4 linked regions of the Arabidopsis thaliana genome follow. The protein of the gene in region 3 interacts with the protein of the main gene of each other region in a pairwise test. Each region holds a gene or a part of one and is shown on either strand. Other genes may lie near its edges.

Region 1 (3,815 bases), on a different chromosome or scaffold from region 3:
TTTACCATGGTATATTATGTGTGAGGGAAAGAGAATTAATAGAAAGTGAAAAGAGGATCGACAAAAGAGAAAAGAAAAAAAGAAGAATAATTAAAAGAAGATATATAGGGATCAGTGCTTGACTTGACTGCAGATTCAGTTGCTGTCTTAACTGCCTCATCTTCTTCTCATTTTCCTTCTCTCATTCGCCAATCCCAATAAGGCAATACTCATCACCTAAATCTATCTCTATATAGCTAGTTGTTGGTTGGAGTATATGATTCTACTCACTTTACATTAATCCAATTACCGGAAAGCTGCTACAACAAATCATATACCTATATATGAATATTCAGGATAAAACGTTTTAGTTGTCGTAAATCCTTCCAATAGGTTCAATAATGCTTTTGCGGCATATTTGGTTTCGGAAATGTAAGAAAATAAATATTCGGTTCGATTAGTTTACATGTTAAGCCCAAAATATATACATACAACGTATATTTGTGTCATTGTGTGTATGAGTGTGTTTATTTCTATTTGTAGATGATATCATATGTGTTGTGTTCCTTGTATACTACACATGCATGTGGTTGTGGACATATGAGTACAAGCTAGGGTTTGGCGTGCAATGAGGCCTGTGTTATAGCATATTTAGGCACTACAAACTTTACATACAAATGTGAAAAGTTTGTATGAGAGATATTATTTATATTGATTGTAGCGGTACAATGAATTAGATATTCTACCAACTCAATCACAACATGAATTATGAATATGTACCTTTGCTCGCATCAGATTTGGCGTCTATTATATAATCTTTAATAAGACTGTCTACTATAAATACACGCATGTGACGATTAATCAATCCAACAATAACCATTAAACCATATAAATCTCCCTCTCTCTATGTACATATAGTAAATGCCTTACATGTCACATGACTTGAATTCTTCAACTTGTTAAAGATCGTCTAAAAATAATCTGCAGCTGGAACTACTCGATATGGTCTGGTTGTGAGCTTGTGCTACTAAAGAGTTGAAGTTGACCACCACCGAGAAACGAAGGGTACCTTGTTGGGAATAGAGAACTCATAGTTTCCGCCGCCGGAGGATTGAGATTATTATTATTATAGTTATTAGAAAATGCGACAGTGACGTTACCAGATTGGTCTAGTAGTGACTGTTGGAGATGTCCAAGGTTGTAGTGATAAGAGCTGCTAGACGAAGTAATTGTAGGGAAATAAAGCTTGTTGCTCTGGATTGAATTCGAGAAATGGTTGTGATGATCGATGTGATCAAACACATGATCAAGATTAACCCATTTCCTTTTCTCAAGATCCAAAGCTTCTCTCTGTGTTCTTCCAAGATCGAAGACCCCGGGAAAAGATTCTCCAAGGCCGGTGAGATTAGGGTTAAGTTGGTGAAAACCAGGTGGGAATTGCAAAGGAGGAAGCAAATCGACGTCGTTTTTGGCAACTTCTAAGAGCCAATCAATGACTTTGCTAGGCTGACTCAGCCCTAATCGTTCTTGAAGGTCGTAGACTTGGATCGCTGTCATCACCGACAACCTTATCCTCCTGTCTCGGAGACCACGAACTGTGCACACTTTGCTGTGTCTATCTTTGCCTCCAAATGCTCGGGAGACTCGCACGATCCTCGGATTATTCCATCGTTGCGTCAACAAGGACAAGGAACTTTTCTGATCTTCTTTTTTTATTCCCATGTCCTCTGTCGATCTAAAAAACAAAAAACAGATGAACAAAATCAATATTGTCATCACAAAGTGTTCAAATTCGGAATGTTTGTGGATTTTTGGGAAGCGTGATCACTTTAATTAGATGAAAGCAACTTCAATAGAGTAAATAACAAAAACCTATTAAGATCAAGAAAACGTATATTACTCGAACTGCATATTAATTTAATTTACTAGATATTTTGTGTATATATACTTAAAAAAGATCAAAGGAAAGTGATTCTCAAATCGAAATAGATTACAATTGAATCAATAGGAAGATCTGAGGATCCAAAGAGGAAAACAAAGGTTTCAAATTATATTACTGCAAGAAAAAAAGATGATTAATCTTACACAGAAAAACTGGTAAGCTTGACGAAGTCGTTGGGTTTAGACAGATCGAGTGAGTTCTTTGTCACGTAGGTTGAGGAAAATGATAAGAACCGAGATGATGAACAGTTATAATTTATTCTCTCTCGTTATCTAAAACTAAAAGTGTATAATATAACATATGGTTGAGGCTGAGCAAGAAATGATATCTATATATATATACGCTCCAATCCCTAGGGTTTTAGTTAGGTATAAAGAGCAATTTGTGTAGTGTGTAGACTATAGACACTCTTATCCACATGTTTTCTGACGGAAAGAAAGATGCTATGATTTTCATTAATCACCCATACTAATAGTAGATAATAAATAAAAACATATACATACACTGATACACATATACATAATCAAAATGTGTACACATGTATCTACTTACTTAGAGATCATTCTTTAGAATGTCTAGTCCTGAATCTTGATGATGCATACGATCATTCTTAACGATATCTTTGACTCCATTCAATAGAAAATACTAATGTAAGAAAATTACATTTTCATTACACACTACATATGGATCTTTTGCTATATATCATTCGAAACAATAGTTCAAAATTACTGAGAACCAACTTATACATTACATTTGGTATAGGGCAAATTCCATTATATATAGTATGTGATGTGCATCAGTAAATGTTAAGACCCAAAACTTTTAAAAATTAGGGGTTTCCTTTCGATTTTCTTCGTGAGATGATCCCAATTGAGCTCCATAATACTGTACATATTATAGTAGGCAAATAGATTGACAGCTAAAATGGTTGGTCTTAGATGGAGGATGGACCAAATTAAAGAGTACATGTTTTTTTTTGTTAAAATAAAGCATCTTAGATATGTAATATGCTTATATACAGATTCATGGTGGACCACTATATAATTTGCATGGCAGTGAGATATCTAGTTCATTCTTTTAAGCATTATTTATATACACTGTCAGGATATCACAATAACAGAATTTCATATAACAAAAATATAATTATTAAATTTCATAAGAATTCTTGTAATTCAATAACAATGACATTGGGGTTTTATATCAATGAGTGAATTCTTGCCATACTGCCAAATTTCACTATATATCTTATAATAAACTGTTTTACTTTTCTTTTAAACGTTTCACAATTTATGACTAATTATTAGCTGCTTGTATACAATGTGTATAAGTAGACCTCTGCGTATGTGTATCAGAGAATCAGAGATTGAGAAGTTTCTCTAGTTGGGACCTAAGGTCGGCTGAAGTAGATAACGATGATTGGACTTCAGTTTCAAAAATTTATTAGCCTTTAGTGCGTTGGATTATGTAATCTTCAAGACGATTGAAGCATATACAAGAAAATAGTTTTAACCTTTTTTCCTAGAAATTTGTTAAGTATGAACGATTCCAATTTCATAGAGGTCAAATACATTACATACTAGCGGTAGATCACATACTAGTGATGGCGGTTAAAAACGAACCTTTAATTCGGTTACCAATATTGAATTGGATACTTGGACTTGAAATAAGCGGTTAGAAGCTCAAACGAATGATTTCAAACTGATTTGTCCTAAAACCACAATCAATTTCAAGTAAACCCTGCTTATCTTTTACCACTGCAAACCGGACCATATTCTCTGATCGCTAGAGAATCTTATTAAGTTTGGTCACACAACCTAGCTGTAACCACAATGAGTGCAAAACGGTAACCACAATGAGTGCAAAACGGTAACACAGAGTGCAATTGAAACGCTCA
Region 2 (4,234 bases), 9.3 Mb from region 3:
TGGAGGTGGGTAAGCGGCCGGTGGATAGCCGTGAGGTGGTGGAGGATAACCTTGCGGAGGGTAACCTCCCGGTGGAGGATAAGCTCCCTGCGGTGGAGGAGGATAAGCTCCTGGCGGATACCCATGGCCGTGATGATTATGATGTGAGAAGAATCTTTTGTCTTGTTCGTGGTGGTCGTCTTTACCCATCTTTAATTAAAATCAAGAACTTGAGAGATAATAAGATGATATGAATAGAGAGAGATACAAGATATGGAAAAATGAACTATATACTATGTTATGTTTAGACACATACATGTGTGCGATATTTGGTTATGTGTAGCGAAAAAGGCTCTTAGCTATTGATTTAAACCGAAATGGACGCGTTGATGCTTGCTCGTTTTAACAACGCATTCTTATTCCTCTTCTGATCATGACACGTTTCTTCTCCATCAGAGGATAAAATAATTGTGACCATTCATATGCATTAAACAATAATAACGAAATCGTTGCTCACACGACACATTAGACTATTAGAGCAGAAAGCCATCAAAGATTAGAGAGAGGAGTAATTTCACAAAATCAAACAATATTAAGATAAAATGGTCAAACTACATAATATTCTCCGGTAGATGGATCAAAAGAGAGTTATTGTTTTGGTTTGTTAACATACCAAAGTTCAAACGGGTTTAGAGTTTCATATACAACCCGAAATGAACCACAAAAGCCAAACCATTTCTTCTTAGATAGATACAACTACGTTAGATAAACATCACCAAATCAGACGGATTTAGGGAAATGTGGTGAGAGGAGCTTCATGATCTCTGTGATTCCGACTTTGTCTTTGCCATCGAAAATCGTCTTCAACTTATCATCGCAGTGAATCTCCTTCTTGTTCGCCGGATTCTACAATGAGGCAAGAAATGAATCACTCAAACAGAAACTATGAATAATCCAGAAAACAGAGAAGTTTATGGTCTACATTAGCTGCTTGTTGTTTACATTGAACAACCAATTCAACATATAGACATCATCTGTGTGTATTACATTAAATAGACTAATTCCAAAACTCAAAGAACACTACAATTCCAAGTTCTCTAAGATAATGACCAACACAACAATCCAAGTAATCTTCACAACCAAACCCACAAGATGCTTCATGTATATAGTCAAAACCAAACAATCCATTCTCAACCACAAGATAACATGCATTTTACTCAAGATCCATGTTCTACATAACAATCAAATCATCCGCCACTAAAATGCTTAATCGATTTAGTTTACATGCAACAATTCCTTCTCTAAAGCAACCAAATCCCTAAGTTCATAAACAGATCTACGCAAAGTAAAAACCTTAGAAAGCTCCAAAATCAAACAAACCTGGAGATTGTGAAGCTTCACATACTCCCAAACTTTCTTCAGAGCGGAACCACGAGTGAGTTCCCTTTCTCCGGCGAAGCTAGCTAGCTGCTGTGACACCGGACGAGTCTTGAATATCCCTTTTCCTTCTCCGGCTACAGTAACGGCCTCAACAGTCGCCGCCTTCGACATCAGTGTCCTGAACCCTCCCAAAACCCTAGAAATTCCCGCCATTTTTTATTTCCGAAAAGAGAAACAAACAACGACTAGAGAAGAAGCTAAAACCCTAACAACAGTCAAATAGAGAAAAATTCGGCGAGAGAGACAAGAAAGACTCTTAAAAGAAGATCGCTAAACTCATTTTGGGCCTTTCATAAACTATGGGCCTATTTGGGCTTCATAAAAAACGAAATATTTAGGATGTTTTATCGAAATTAAAGGTAAATGTAAGAGCTAATGTGCAATTTAAGAAGATAGCTAAAATTCAGTTTGGGCCTATTTGGGCTTCAGAAAAAAGAGAAATAATTAGGATGTTTATCGAAAATAAAGGTAAAATGTAAGGGTTAATATGCAATTTAAAATGAACTTTTAGTCTTCGGTGACAAACGGCACCGTTTAATAGTTTGATGCCGGTCGCTATTCGTACATGGCGGATGCTCCGTCGCAACATCGCCGTAGAGAGTCTTCTTCGCCGCTGCGTCACCGTCAACTTGGATGAGACATATTCTTAAAAGGAGAACGATGTGGTGAGTGGAAACCCTAATCGATATCAGTGGTTGTTAAATGTATTAGTTGATTTTAGTTGTCTTAGTCTACTAGAGATTTTTAGTTCTTGTCTCTGAGTGGTGAATGACAAGGTTTTTCACAAACTTGGTTAATATCTATGACTTAAGAGATGACATGTTTGCTCATCTTCTCTGGTTAGTTTATCTTATCTTTGTTAAGATAAAGATGCTTATGGTCATTTAGTAGACTAAAAACGGCAACTTGTGTAGTTATTATATGTGGTATAAAGGGGGAAAGAGCATGATTAGATCATATGATGATCTCTCTTGCTTTCGTATGTATATCACTCACTAGAAAGGATGATGTATTTAGGTCTGAGAAAGCAACACAAGTTAGTGAATGACGTTTCAAGTTTTTACTTGGAAGGGTTAGAAGATGGTTCTTCTAGGTGATGATAATGACACTTGACAAAGTAGAGAGTGACATGGATTTCTCTTCTTGCATCAGCTTCCACTTGACTAAAGTGAATCACGTTTTAATGTGTAAGCATATCTTGTGGGCCTTTCTCATCCAATGATTTGTTTTTTGCTCCTCTATGTTGTTTTGCAGACACTGTAGCTTCCCCACTTCTTCTTTTTGGTTTTAAATTATTGTGTAGCTAGTAACGATGTGAAGTATAACAACAGCCATTTAAAGTTTCAATTATTCGACTCGTATTTATCATGAAAGCGAAAGCACATTATTCCTGTAGCTATTGTTGACATAAATTCTGCAGTTGAAAAAAGTCTATATGTGTGGTAAAGAAAACTTCAAAGTACCAGTAAAGTTACTTGAGATGATAAGGAGAGCCATGGTCAGGTGTGTTTGCTTATGTCCTGTCGTTGTTAGTCTTATTATCCGCAAGTTGTTTAATTATCTGATACATACATTTCATTGATTTTCACCAGTTGATATGCACTTGCAGGTGACTAGTAATGTGTAGAGATAGAGTAGACCTTTTCTTTTTAAGGAACCCCACAAAAGATACAACAATCATTTCCATGGAAGAGTGGACCGAAAGTTTAGTCACTGTTTTTGCAAATGGGAATTAGTATATACTTGGTTTCCCTTCTTATCTCATACATTATCTCACTGTTTTATTCTCAAACTTAGGAGTACTATCATCATCTAGCCTAAAATAAAAAGAAAGTCGTCGGATATATATCTCGGATACGTAAGTAAAATCGACCAAAATTCGACGACTTTTATCTTTTCTAATACTACTATTATTCCTTGGTTGCAGTGGGGAAAATTTTCTTTGGAGCTTCTTGGAGTTACTTAGTTGTTGTTACCTTCGGCTGCACGTTTACCGCAACTTCACCCGATGCAGTGCCATGTAAGCCATGAGCCGATAACCCACCAACATCACTCCCATAACAAACACGTCTATCCAGAGATTGTTCAATCCCATTGACTTGATTGCTGGGAAGTCTCCAACTCTGCACCAGACTCCTTTTGAACACTCATAGTAGTCGTCATCAGTGTATTGAATACCCAAAAGCAGCTTGTAGCAGTAGTAGCTGTAGCTTAGGTACTTGAGCCATACGATGAAGGGAGGAATTTGTTGCACGTAGTATCCTCCGGCTATGAGAAAAACGAGTGTAGTAACAGATGCTAACGTTGTGGCTTGCTTGATGTTCATAAGCAGAGCACCGAAGGCTAAGCCAAGACCTTGAGCAACAAGGACAGAATAGAGAACAACCAGTAGCGAGAGGATAAACGTTGTTGGGTCAGGTTTAAGTCCACCCATCCAGTAAATTATGAACACAAAAGCAGTTGGAAGGGCAAGTTCCAAGGGCAGGTCCCCAACGTTTCTAGCCATGAAATAGGAGGAAAGACGGTACATTCCGGAAGACCGTTCCTTGATTAGCATTCTTTTCTCTTGTGGAAATGTGAAAACCGCGTTGTATAGCGGGTAGAAGCCCCAAAAGACCGAGAAGAAGAAGAGCAAAGCAGTCTGCATTCAGAATAAATGTAGAATGATGGTTAGAATTAGAATACTGATGTCTGAATAAAATGTGTGTTAGCATCTAGAAGAAGAGAGCCTTACTCTATCTTGGATGTGAGATTTTGGAGTATGCCACCATAAAAGGCCACCAAGAAAAGCAACACTGATGACTTGGAAAATCCT
Region 3 (4,079 bases):
GAGAGAGGAGGAAACAGAGGAGACCCAAGGAAAAAACGAAATCTCGAGAGAGAGAGAGTTTAGAAGGAAAAGGCCATGACCAAGTAAGAAACACAAGACAAAGAAAGAGGAAAGTAGTTGGTATTGGGTGGGAGCATTGAAGAGTGATAATACGACATTTTCTAAGTTTGACTATTTCAGGTAATGGATGAGACCGACGGAAGAGCGTCATCATAAGTTTCCGTTGCGCCGCCGCCATAACTTCACCACCTTCTTCCGTCAAAACCATTCTACTTGCTATTTTTCTTCCTTTGTTTAATGATTCCTTGTCTGACCTGTCTTTGACCTTTTTGTCGTTTTTTTAATCCTTTTTTAATGACAGTAGGTAAATCTCTTGCCAGGTGCGATGAATTTCCAAATATTGTCAATAAAGTTACCTTTTTATCCCACCTTGATTTTTTTTTTATGTATTAATTAAAATTTAAAAACGTATACCATTAGCAAATAGTAGCAATCATTGGTATATTGGAATCATATAGTATATGGCAATTTGGTCATCGATATCGTATCTTTATGTGCATTTTGGCCCCCACGATACTAAAAGTCACGAAATTTTCCAAAGTATCGACTTTTATTGGAAAATGGTGCTGATTATCAACTGATTTGTAGAAGTGTGATTAATTACCTGTAGTCATTATGATTTTCTTGAACAAAAAAAGAAGAAACAGAAGATGTATGTCACTATGTCGTATCATTACGAGAGGGAAAAAAAAGAAACAGCTGGAATAAATTACTCAAATAAGAAAAGAAATACAATGGGCACTATTAAAAAGCATAGACATGAGCTATATATTATTTATGTTTAGAGAAGAACTTTCCAACAGAATTTGGTTTTAAAAAATACCCGTTAGGTGACAATAAATGGGAGAAACTATATCTTAAGTATGTTCATTATTTATATATAAAAAAAGGGAGAATCACAATTCACAAGTATGTTGATAAATAATAATAAAACAAAAAAAAAAAAGACAAAAGAAACTTTAGCTGGTAAAAGTAAGCATCATTAGGTTTTTAATTTGAATCACTATTAAATGATGCCGGTCCACTACTTGCGTTTAAGACAATTTAGAGAGACTTAACTAAAAAACTTATTACTTAAAGCGATCAATACGACCATCTTTTTAATTATTTTGACCGGTAAACAAAGTGATGCCCAATTGCCAATTTAAGAGAAGGCCCAAAACATCCTCCTGTCCACTACAGGCGCATTATATGCTCGAGGATTTCTTAAAACAAAACAATACTTGTCTTCTTGTATGGGCCTGATAATTAAGGCCTCCGTATGATTTAGATCCAACCAATAAGTATTTTTCACTATAAGTGAATTTTACTTGTTTCCCAATCCATAGATAGTTCCATACCAAGTTACCAACTTATTATCCCACAAAACATTCTCTCAGACTCTCAGTTCATACAAGGCTTTCTGCCTATTTTTTACTTGTTAAAATTTTGACTCAAAGATACAAAAATATACACTCAGACGTGGGGAGATGTAATGCCATAACAGCTTAAATTAATAAATTTCGTTGAAGCAACTACAGAATCTTGTAATGAATGCTACAAAGAAGATTTAAAGTTAAACAAATTTAAATCATGAAATCGAATAATTAAATAAAATACAAAGAAAAAGGAAAAAAAAATAAAAAAAAAAGGGAGGGAGACAAGATGCTGCGATGGTTCACGTGCCAATGTGCCTTTTACTTTTCATCAACTAGTTTTCTTTTTAATTATTAATAAATCAACTCAATTTCGCAATTTTATAGTTAGTGACGTCACTTCTCTCTCCTCACAGAGTCGAGTTTCTCTCCTACGCTCTTCATTTCATTTCATTTGATAGAGAGAGAGAGAGAGAGAGAGAGAGAGAAAGAGCTTCGTCTTCTTCATCTCCATCATTATCTCCATTGACATTGTTCTCAATTGCGAATAATAATCATAATTATTCACACAACCAAAGCATTCATCTCTCAGATTCTCTTAAAAAAATGGAGAAATCAGATCCTCCACCAGTCCCAAAGCCCGGCGCCACTATTATCCCCTCCTCCGATCCAATTCCTAATGCCGATCCGATTCCATCTTCTTCCTTCCACCGCCGATCTCGCTCCGACGATATGTCCATGTTCATGTTCATGGATCCCCTCTCCTCCGCCGCACCACCTTCCTCCGACGACCTTCCCTCCGACGACGATCTCTTCTCTTCTTTCATCGATGTCGATAGCCTCACCTCTAATCCCAATCCCTTTCAAAATCCTTCCCTCTCCTCCAACTCCGTTTCCGGCGCTGCTAATCCTCCTCCTCCTCCTTCCTCTCGTCCTCGCCACCGTCACAGCAATTCCGTTGACGCTGGATGCGCCATGTATGCCGGTGATATCATGGACGCTAAGAAAGCTATGCCTCCTGAAAAACTCTCTGAGCTTTGGAACATCGATCCCAAACGCGCCAAAAGGTCCTTCTTCTTCTTCTTCAAATTTGTTTCTCTTTCCACAGAATTGAAGAATTGCAATGAAATTAGGGATTTGATTACAGGATTCTAGCGAATCGACAATCTGCAGCTCGATCCAAAGAGAGAAAAGCTCGATACATTCAAGAACTTGAGCGCAAAGTTCAATCTCTTCAAACCGAAGCTACCACTCTCTCTGCTCAGCTTACTCTCTACCAGGTTTCCATATTCGGCGATTCCTCGTTTGATCCCAACAGAATAGGAAAGTTCTTTCCTCTGTTTTACATACATAGACAGATCTTGATTTCAATGTTGTTTTGATTGATCCAGAGAGACACAAATGGACTAGCAAACGAAAACACAGAGCTGAAACTTAGGTTGCAAGCAATGGAACAACAAGCTCAGCTTCGTAATGGTAAGCACAAAAAAAAAAGAAGCTAATTTCTTTGTATGCATTTTGGTGCATTTCTTCAATATTTGCTTTTTGATGTTACAGCTTTAAACGAAGCGTTGAGGAAAGAAGTTGAAAGGATGAAGATGGAGACAGGAGAAATCTCTGGTAATTCAGATTCGTTTGATATGGGAATGCAGCAGATTCAGTATTCTTCCTCAACTTTCATGGCTATTCCACCATATCATGGCTCAATGAACCTCCATGATATGCAGATGCATTCTAGTTTCAATCCTATGGAGATGTCCAATTCTCAAAGCGTGTCGGACTTTCTACAGAACGGCCGAATGCAAGGGCTGGAGATTAGTAGCAATAGCTCAAGCTTAGTCAAATCTGAAGGACCTTCTCTCTCTGCTAGTGAGAGTAGCTCTGCCTATTGACGACAAGATTATGATGAGGCTCATTTTTCTGTTAATAGGTTTTTTTTTTTTTCAATTCATTTGATTCACTTTTGATTATTTATTCTTTCTTTTTTTTGAGGTGCCATTGTGCAAGAAAGGACGTACGTATACATTTGTGTTGGTTATGTGTCGTGAGTTTCGTTGTTTGCTATTCCCATTGTTTGTTCTTCAAGGAACAAAGGAGACTAATAAATTTCATTTTTCTTTTGTATACAATGATGTTTGCTACGTTTTGTTTTATTTTACTAGGAGATGGAGATGTTTAATAAGTTCATTCCAATTGGGTTAATAGTTTGATTTTGGGATCAATGATTTTGATACGACAACACCAAGGCAGTTCCTCAGTAGCTTCTTCTCCAAGACACCCTCACATCCGTCATCCCATTAGAGTTTTGAGACAACTTCTCCCAACCGGACTTCTCCATGAGACAAAATTTCCCAAACTTGGAGTCGGAGTTGAAATGAGAGACGAAGCATTGAGAGATTAGTTTTTGAGACTCTGTAAGACTGTTAACGAAAATATTCGACCTTTGAAAGACATCTAACACGATTCAACCTTTAAGCAAAGACCCATTGTTGGAGAGAACCAACAAAAGTTCCAACCTTTCCAAACTGAGCTAGCAAGAACAATAGAACATGCATAACAATAAGAACGTGGAGAGTTTAGAACATTGTTACCATGTTATCAGACGAAACATCTACTCTCTGGACTGTGGACGTCCTTGGAGAAGCTCGGTCTATTTCGCAAAAT
Region 4 (6,401 bases), 1.1 Mb from region 3:
ACCTCGGGAACTAAAGAAGATGCTCGTCGCTTCTAGAACTCTTTACCAATCAGTGAATGCTATCTTCGAAAGTAGCTTCAATGTAAGAGAGCTCTCAGCTTTTGATTTTGGTGTGTTTCGTTTACACACGAAGAGAGGGGGGTATAGGGTTAGAGACGACGAACCAAAACGAAAGGCGACGCGTATCGTGTTGGTCGGCGCACACTGGAACTCAATCTGGCCCGTTAAGTAAATGGGTCATTAGATTTCTTAATGGGCCTACTGACCCGTACATTATTAAAGCCGAGGATCCCCTTTCAATTTTATTTTTCAAAGTGAAACCCTCGTCGTCGTCTCTAGTCTGAACTTTTTCAATCTCTCTCGATTTCATTCAATCAATGGCGCCTAAGAAAATCGGAGCCGGCAAAGGCGATTCGAGCATCTTGGCGAAGATTTCAAACTACGATATCGTTTCTCAGGGAAGACGCGCCGCTTGCGATGCCGTCTACGTGTCGAAGAAGCTGTTAAAGAGCACCGGGAAGGCGGCGTGGATCGCCGGTACGACGTTTCTCATCCTTGCCGTGCCTTTGATCTTAGAGTTGGAGCAAGATCATCGATTAGGCGAGATAGATTTTGAGCAGGCGAGTCTTCTCGGAACCCCACCGGTCGGTGCGATGCTCTAAAGTAACTTTAGAAACCCTAATCCGTCGATCATATCATAAATTTGATATTATCATGCTTGTTTCTGCTACTCGATTAGAAGCTGTTAGTTTCCTTCCTTGTGTAAGATTAGGTTTACTCATAAGGGATTTGATGAATTTCAATTGGCTATTTTGAAGATTGTGTTTGAGCAATCTTCTTCTAATTTATTTGGCAATTTATGATGTGGGCTGAGATTTTCTCCGTACAAGTGATTATTCTTTTAATCTCATAGCTGTGACTCACTTTGAGTGGAGCATCAATCTTCGAAATTTTATTTGGCAATCTGGTTAAGAATATAGGTAAGGATCTTTGGTAAACTTAGCTGTTTACACTTGTCTTAATTTCTCGTCAACATTTATGCCATTTAGTTCAAATTTTGATTTGATCATCACTCCTTTACATGGCAAGGCCTGTAAATAGACTGCCTAAACCTTGATGATGCTTCTTTTGTTCAGCAAATATCTTGTTAGCATCACTGCTCTTTTCGTGACAAAACCTTTGACTCCCACTTTTTCAGTTTTCAATGTGTATTTTGACTCTGTTTGCATGAAGGGTTTTGGTTTAGCTGACTTGCTGATTACTGAATCTCTTGATTTTATTCTTCCCCTATCGCCTTCACACTTGAACCAAAAGAACTATACAAAATTCTACTTTAAACCAAAAACTGAAATCATACTTGAATTCCCTGGGTTATTCAATTGTAGTAGAACAAAACGTTGTCTGTCCTGGACCCAATCGCTTAAAAGAAAAAACATATGTTGTGGGCCGTCCCATACTTGATGAAGCCCATATGATTTAAAGGAGTTAAACCAGTCAACTCGAAGGAGTAAAATCAGTCAATCATACTGACACTGCATAGAGAGAAAGAAAGGTTCACTTTTAGTTTGTCTTATTCGCCTCATACAGAAAAAGTCAATGACGACTCCCAAACGCTGCGTTTCTCAAATCTTTGAAGACTCTCCTTCGTGGAGAGTATACACTTTTCTTTCCTCACTTCGTCTTTTAAAGTTTCAAATTGTCGTCTTTCTTTGGACAGAGAGATACATTGATCAAAAATACGCTTTGCATAAGCAAATCTACCATCAGTTTTTCACTACATTCTCTTCTCTGAGGAAAGTCGAAAATCCGGTTCTCTCACTACAGAGTCTCACCCTCTTAAAACCCTAAATCAGTTTCAGAGTTGGTTCTTTTGCTTGTAAGTTCTTCTCATTTTTTCTGCTAAAGCTTCAATCTTTTCCGTTTCGAGACCTCTACTCGTTTTTTTTATTCTGGAAAATTGAAACGTTTTAGGGTTTTGGTACTTTGTTGTCCCTTCGGTTTTCCAAAAAAAAAAAAAAAAAAACAGAAAAAGTTCCAATTTTTTTGGTGGGTAATAAGTATTTGGTAATGGCTCTTCCTACATTTGTTTTTTTGTTTGCTTTCATCTCAAAATTCAGGGTCTTAGTCACATTAGTTTCGTTACACATCTAACTCTTTTACTCTCTTCTCTGGTTTCGCTCTTATTGGTGGGGCAGGAAGATGAAAGTTTCCACTTTTGTTACTTTGCTATGTTTATTTCTGAAGTTTTTTGAGGTTGGTGAGTGATTCAGCTTTGTTATTGCAGAAACTTGTTGAAAATGGCACCGAATCTTAGGATTAAGAAAGCCTGTGACGCGATGAAGCTTTTAGGAATATCAGAGACGAAAACAAGGGCCTTTCTCAGGAAACTTCTCAAGACCTATGAGAATAACTGGGATTTCATTGAAGAGGATGCTTATAAGGTCCTTCTTGATGCAATCTTCGACGAGGCTGATGCCCAGGTCTGTTTTTTCTGCTTAATCACTTTTTATTTTCTTTATTTGATTGTTTACATATTCTCACTTAGTCAGTTCTCTTTCTTTGATATGTCATATGGTAGTCCACTGAAAAAAATAAGAAGGAAGAGGAAAAGAAGAAGAAGGAAGAGGAAAAGAAGTCCAGAGTAAGTTAACTTTCTTTAATTTGATGACAATTTTCTGGTGTTTTTTGATGTTGTTTCTTCTCAAGGTTTTGATGATCTTTTTTTGTTTCTTTAGAGTGTAGCAACGAGCAGGGGAAGGAGGAAAGCTCCTGAGGTATACGACCTAAATATCTTTGTTGTTTTAGAATTTGTTATCATCATGAAACATTAACTTGTTTTTTTTTTTGGTTAAACCAAACTCAGCCTTTGGTACAAGATGAAGAGGACGATATGGATGAAGATGAATTTCCATTGAAAAGGAGGTTGCGCAGTAGACGTGGAAGAGCTTCATCTTCATCTTCATCTTCATCTTCCTATAACAACGAGGATCTCAAGGTATGTTTAGTATCTGTTTTTCGGGTTTCTTGGTCATATTATATAGCCTGTGTTTATTTTGTTTTCGGTGAAACAGACACAGCCTGAAGAGGAAGATGAAGATGATGGTGTGACTGAATTACCTCCGTTAAAGAGGTACGTACGCAGAAATGGTGAACGAGGGTTGGCAATGACTGTTTATAACAATGCAAGTCCTAGCTCCAGCAGTCGCTTGTCAATGGAGCCCGAAGAAGTACCACCAATGGTTCTATTGCCAGCTCATCCTATGGAAACGAAGGTTTCTGAAGCCAGTGCACTTGTTATCCTCAATGATGAACCCAATATCGATCATAAGCCTGTGATTTCAGGTATTGTTACATGAACTCAAGATAAAACTTAGTAATCTTTCTTTTATTGCTTTTTATGTGGTTGTGATGAGATGTTGAAACCTTTGCATTTTAACCTGATCTGTCTTTTGTGATGTTTCCTTCTGACACTTCTTTTCATTATTTAGATACAGGAAACTGTTCAGCTCCCATGCTTGAGATGGGGAAATCAAATATACATGTGCAAGAATGGGATTGGGAAACCAAAGATATTCTCAATGATACTACTGCCATGGATGTGTCTCCTTCTTCAGCTATTGGGGAATCAAGTGAGCATAAGGTTGCTGCTGCTTCAGTTGAATTAGCTTCTTCGACTTCTGGTGAGGCAAAGATTTGTCTAAGTTTCGCGCCTGCAACTGGAGAAACAACGAATTTGCATTTGCCTTCTATGGAGGATCTTCGGAGAGCAATGGAGGAGAAGTGCCTCAAGTCGTACAAAATTGTTCACCCCGAGTTTTCGGTCCTTGGGTTCATGAAGGACATGTGTAGCTGTTACATAGACTTGGCAAAGAATTCAACCAGCCAGTTGCTTGAAACAGAAACCGTATGTGACATGAGTAAGGCGGGTGATGAAAGTGGTGCAGTTGGCATTTCGATGCCGTTGGTGGTTGTTCCTGAATGCGAGATCTCGGGAGATGGCTGGAAAGCAATTAGCAACATGAAGGACATTACGGCTGGTGAAGAAAACGTTGAGATTCCATGGGTGAATGAGATCAACGAGAAGGTTCCTTCCCGTTTCCGTTACATGCCTCACAGCTTTGTGTTTCAAGATGCTCCAGTGATATTCTCGCTCTCAAGTTTCTCTGATGAGCAAAGCTGCTCCACTTCTTGTATCGAAGACTGCCTGGCTTCAGAAATGTCGTGCAATTGTGCAATTGGTGTTGATAACGGGTTTGCGTACACATTAGATGGGTTACTCAAAGAAGAATTCTTGGAAGCTCGGATCTCTGAGGCTCGTGATCAACGGAAACAGGTGCTGCGATTCTGTGAAGAGTGCCCATTGGAGAGAGCTAAAAAGGTTGAGATTTTGGAACCATGTAAAGGGCATCTAAAGAGGGGAGCCATTAAAGAGTGTTGGTTCAAATGTGGTTGCACTAAGAGATGCGGTAACCGAGTGGTGCAAAGAGGAATGCACAACAAATTACAGGTAAAACATTCACCTTAACTAACAATCTTTTACGTGTTTTTCTTTCATCTTGTTATATAAATCAATTAGTTTCCATTTTTGATCAGTCATCTTTTTTTCTTAATATCAGGTGTTTTTCACGCCAAATGGGAAAGGCTGGGGACTTAGGACTTTAGAGAAACTGCCTAAAGGGGCATTTATTTGTGAGTACATTGGAGAGATATTGACAATTCCGGAGTTATACCAACGTAGCTTTGAAGATAAACCCACTTTGCCTGTGATATTGGATGCACATTGGGGTTCTGAAGAAAGGTTAGAGGGTGACAAAGCTCTGTGTCTTGATGGGATGTTTTATGGAAATATCTCAAGGTTCCTTAACCACAGGTAATGGCTTCCCCTAAAACTCAGAACACCAATGGTGTTTCTCTCTATTTTAAACTGATGTTTCTTTCTGTCCTTTGATGTATGTAGATGTCTTGATGCAAACTTGATCGAGATTCCAGTTCAAGTCGAGACTCCGGATCAGCATTATTATCATGTAATGATACAATGACGGTCTCATATATAATCTTTTGCTCATATGTTTCTTCTGTTTTGGGGAAATTGTTTAAACTGTAATCTTTTCCAGCTTGCATTCTTCACAACAAGAGACATCGAGGCAATGGAGGAACTCGCATGGGTGTGTATAATTTCGCATATCCATTTTATATTAGGCTGAGAAGTTTCTATACCGATGAAAATGATTGTATATTCCTAATGCTTACTGATATCTTGATATACATTGATCTGATGTAACCCTTTCACATTCTCAGGATTATGGCATTGACTTCAACGATAATGACTCTCTAATGAAACCCTTTGATTGTCTGTGTGGTAGCAGATTCTGCAGGAACAAGAAGCGATCAACGAGTGAGTAATATCATCAGAGTTTGTTGATTCTGTTACATGGGACTGAGTAATATCAATCCTGCATCTCACTGACTGAATTTTTTTTACCTTTGTTATGTTCCAGAGACCATGCAGATTTTGAACAAAGCATGAGAGGCTAGTGAAGAAGAAAAGACGTGATGAGACCCTCTGTTTTTTGGTGAATGGGACTCTCCAAACCGGTCCGGGTTAATAGATTTTGTAGGTTGGGAAAAAAAGAAGCTTAAGTTGGGTATTGTGTGATCAAACTCTGTATAGCTCGAGGGTCCAGTGCCTTTTGTTTTAATTTAGAAGTTTGACCATCTTTAATTCTAAATCTCTCTAAACCACGTTCTTTTTTGTAGTAAACCATAAATTTCCGCACTGTTGAGGGCCAACGGATCCCTGATCGTAAGACTAGGAGTCTAGGATGGACAAGTTTTTACTTCTTACTTTTATCACTCAGTTTATGGAGATGGAAAGTATGATTGTATTGTCTTTGTGCATATGGTGTGTTCATCTAAAACAAGTGAAAAAAGCTAAAAAATTGCCGTTGAACAACTCTCTCACTATATATATAATCTATTTATGTATGAAATTTAATCAAAACGTGATTAACAAATTATAAACAAACAACTCTTGTCATGTTATGATCGGTGTTACTTAATTGACCATTCTACTTTTTGAATGTTATAATTGTTTGCTTAAGAAAGTAAGCTTTTACGAAAGTGGTATCCTAATGTATAACACGTATTATCTAAAAGATCAAAATAACGGGAAAAATGAGATTCTCATCGTTAACATTTTACGATTATTTTGACAAAATATGGCCAAAAGTTGTAGTAAATGTTTAACTTATTCAATTTTAAGCTGAATTGGCAGTTGAAAATAATAAGCATTTAATTGTAGTCCAACTGTGCATGATCGGTCGTATACGTGCTTTGCTGGAAAACCGAGTGTTTCTAATGACTTAATATCTATACTCTACTTATATTCAATTAAGAGATCC

The links.
Region 1: the proteins of bZIP52 (region 3) and TCP17 interact in a two-hybrid assay, tested with the Arabidopsis thaliana proteins (one large-scale study listed by BioGRID).
Region 2: the proteins of bZIP52 (region 3) and AT1G31760 interact in a two-hybrid assay, tested with the Arabidopsis thaliana proteins (one large-scale study listed by BioGRID).
Region 4: the proteins of bZIP52 (region 3) and SUVR1 interact in a two-hybrid assay, tested with the Arabidopsis thaliana proteins (one large-scale study listed by BioGRID).

The regions. Positions count from the first base shown.
Region 1 is NC_003076.8:2,582,771-2,586,585, reverse strand, and holds TCP17 (TCP domain protein 17), read right to left. Parts: upstream 2,229-3,815; 5' UTR 2,065-2,228; intron 1,715-2,064; 5' UTR 1,702-1,714; coding exon 973-1,701; 3' UTR 551-972; downstream 1-550. UniProt on the Arabidopsis thaliana protein: Plays a pivotal role in the control of morphogenesis of shoot organs by negatively regulating the expression of boundary-specific genes such as CUC genes, probably through the induction of miRNA (e.g. miR164). Participates in ovule development.
Region 2 is NC_003070.9:11,371,843-11,376,076, forward strand, and holds AT1G31760 (SWIB/MDM2 domain superfamily protein), read right to left. Parts: upstream 2,460-4,234; 5' UTR 1,573-2,459; coding exon 1,360-1,572; intron 886-1,359; coding exon 760-885; 3' UTR 552-759; downstream 1-551. Other genes in the region: AT1G31750 (proline-rich family protein), read right to left, coding at 1-189; ABCG14 (ATP-binding cassette 14), read right to left, coding at 3,410-4,060, 4,154-4,234.
Region 3 is NC_003070.9:2,103,212-2,107,290, forward strand, and holds bZIP52 (basic leucine-zipper 52), read left to right. Parts: upstream 1-1,836; 5' UTR 1,837-2,021; coding exon 2,022-2,482; intron 2,483-2,562; coding exon 2,563-2,695; coding exon of another isoform or gene 2,696-2,797; intron 2,798-2,806; coding exon 2,807-2,891; intron 2,892-2,972; coding exon 2,973-3,307; 3' UTR 3,308-3,538; downstream 3,539-4,079.
Region 4 is NC_003070.9:1,045,093-1,051,493, reverse strand, and holds SUVR1 (histone-lysine N-methyltransferase SUVR2-like protein), read left to right. Parts: upstream 1-1,629; 5' UTR 1,630-1,876; intron 1,877-2,016; exon of another isoform or gene 2,017-2,284; 5' UTR 2,285-2,297; coding exon 2,298-2,480; intron 2,481-2,514; exon of another isoform or gene 2,515-2,578; coding exon 2,579-2,641; intron 2,642-2,735; coding exon 2,736-2,774; intron 2,775-2,863; coding exon 2,864-2,995; intron 2,996-3,071; coding exon 3,072-3,342; intron 3,343-3,488; coding exon 3,489-4,507; intron 4,508-4,616; coding exon 4,617-4,870; intron 4,871-4,957; coding exon 4,958-5,024; intron 5,025-5,114; coding exon 5,115-5,165; intron 5,166-5,298; coding exon 5,299-5,395; intron 5,396-5,498; coding exon 5,499-5,527; 3' UTR 5,528-5,896; downstream 5,897-6,401. Other genes in the region: TOM22-I (translocase of outer membrane 22-I), read left to right, coding at 378-662. UniProt on the Arabidopsis thaliana protein: Probable inactive histone-lysine methyltransferase that acts as regulator of transctiptional gene silencing independently of histone H3K9 methylation.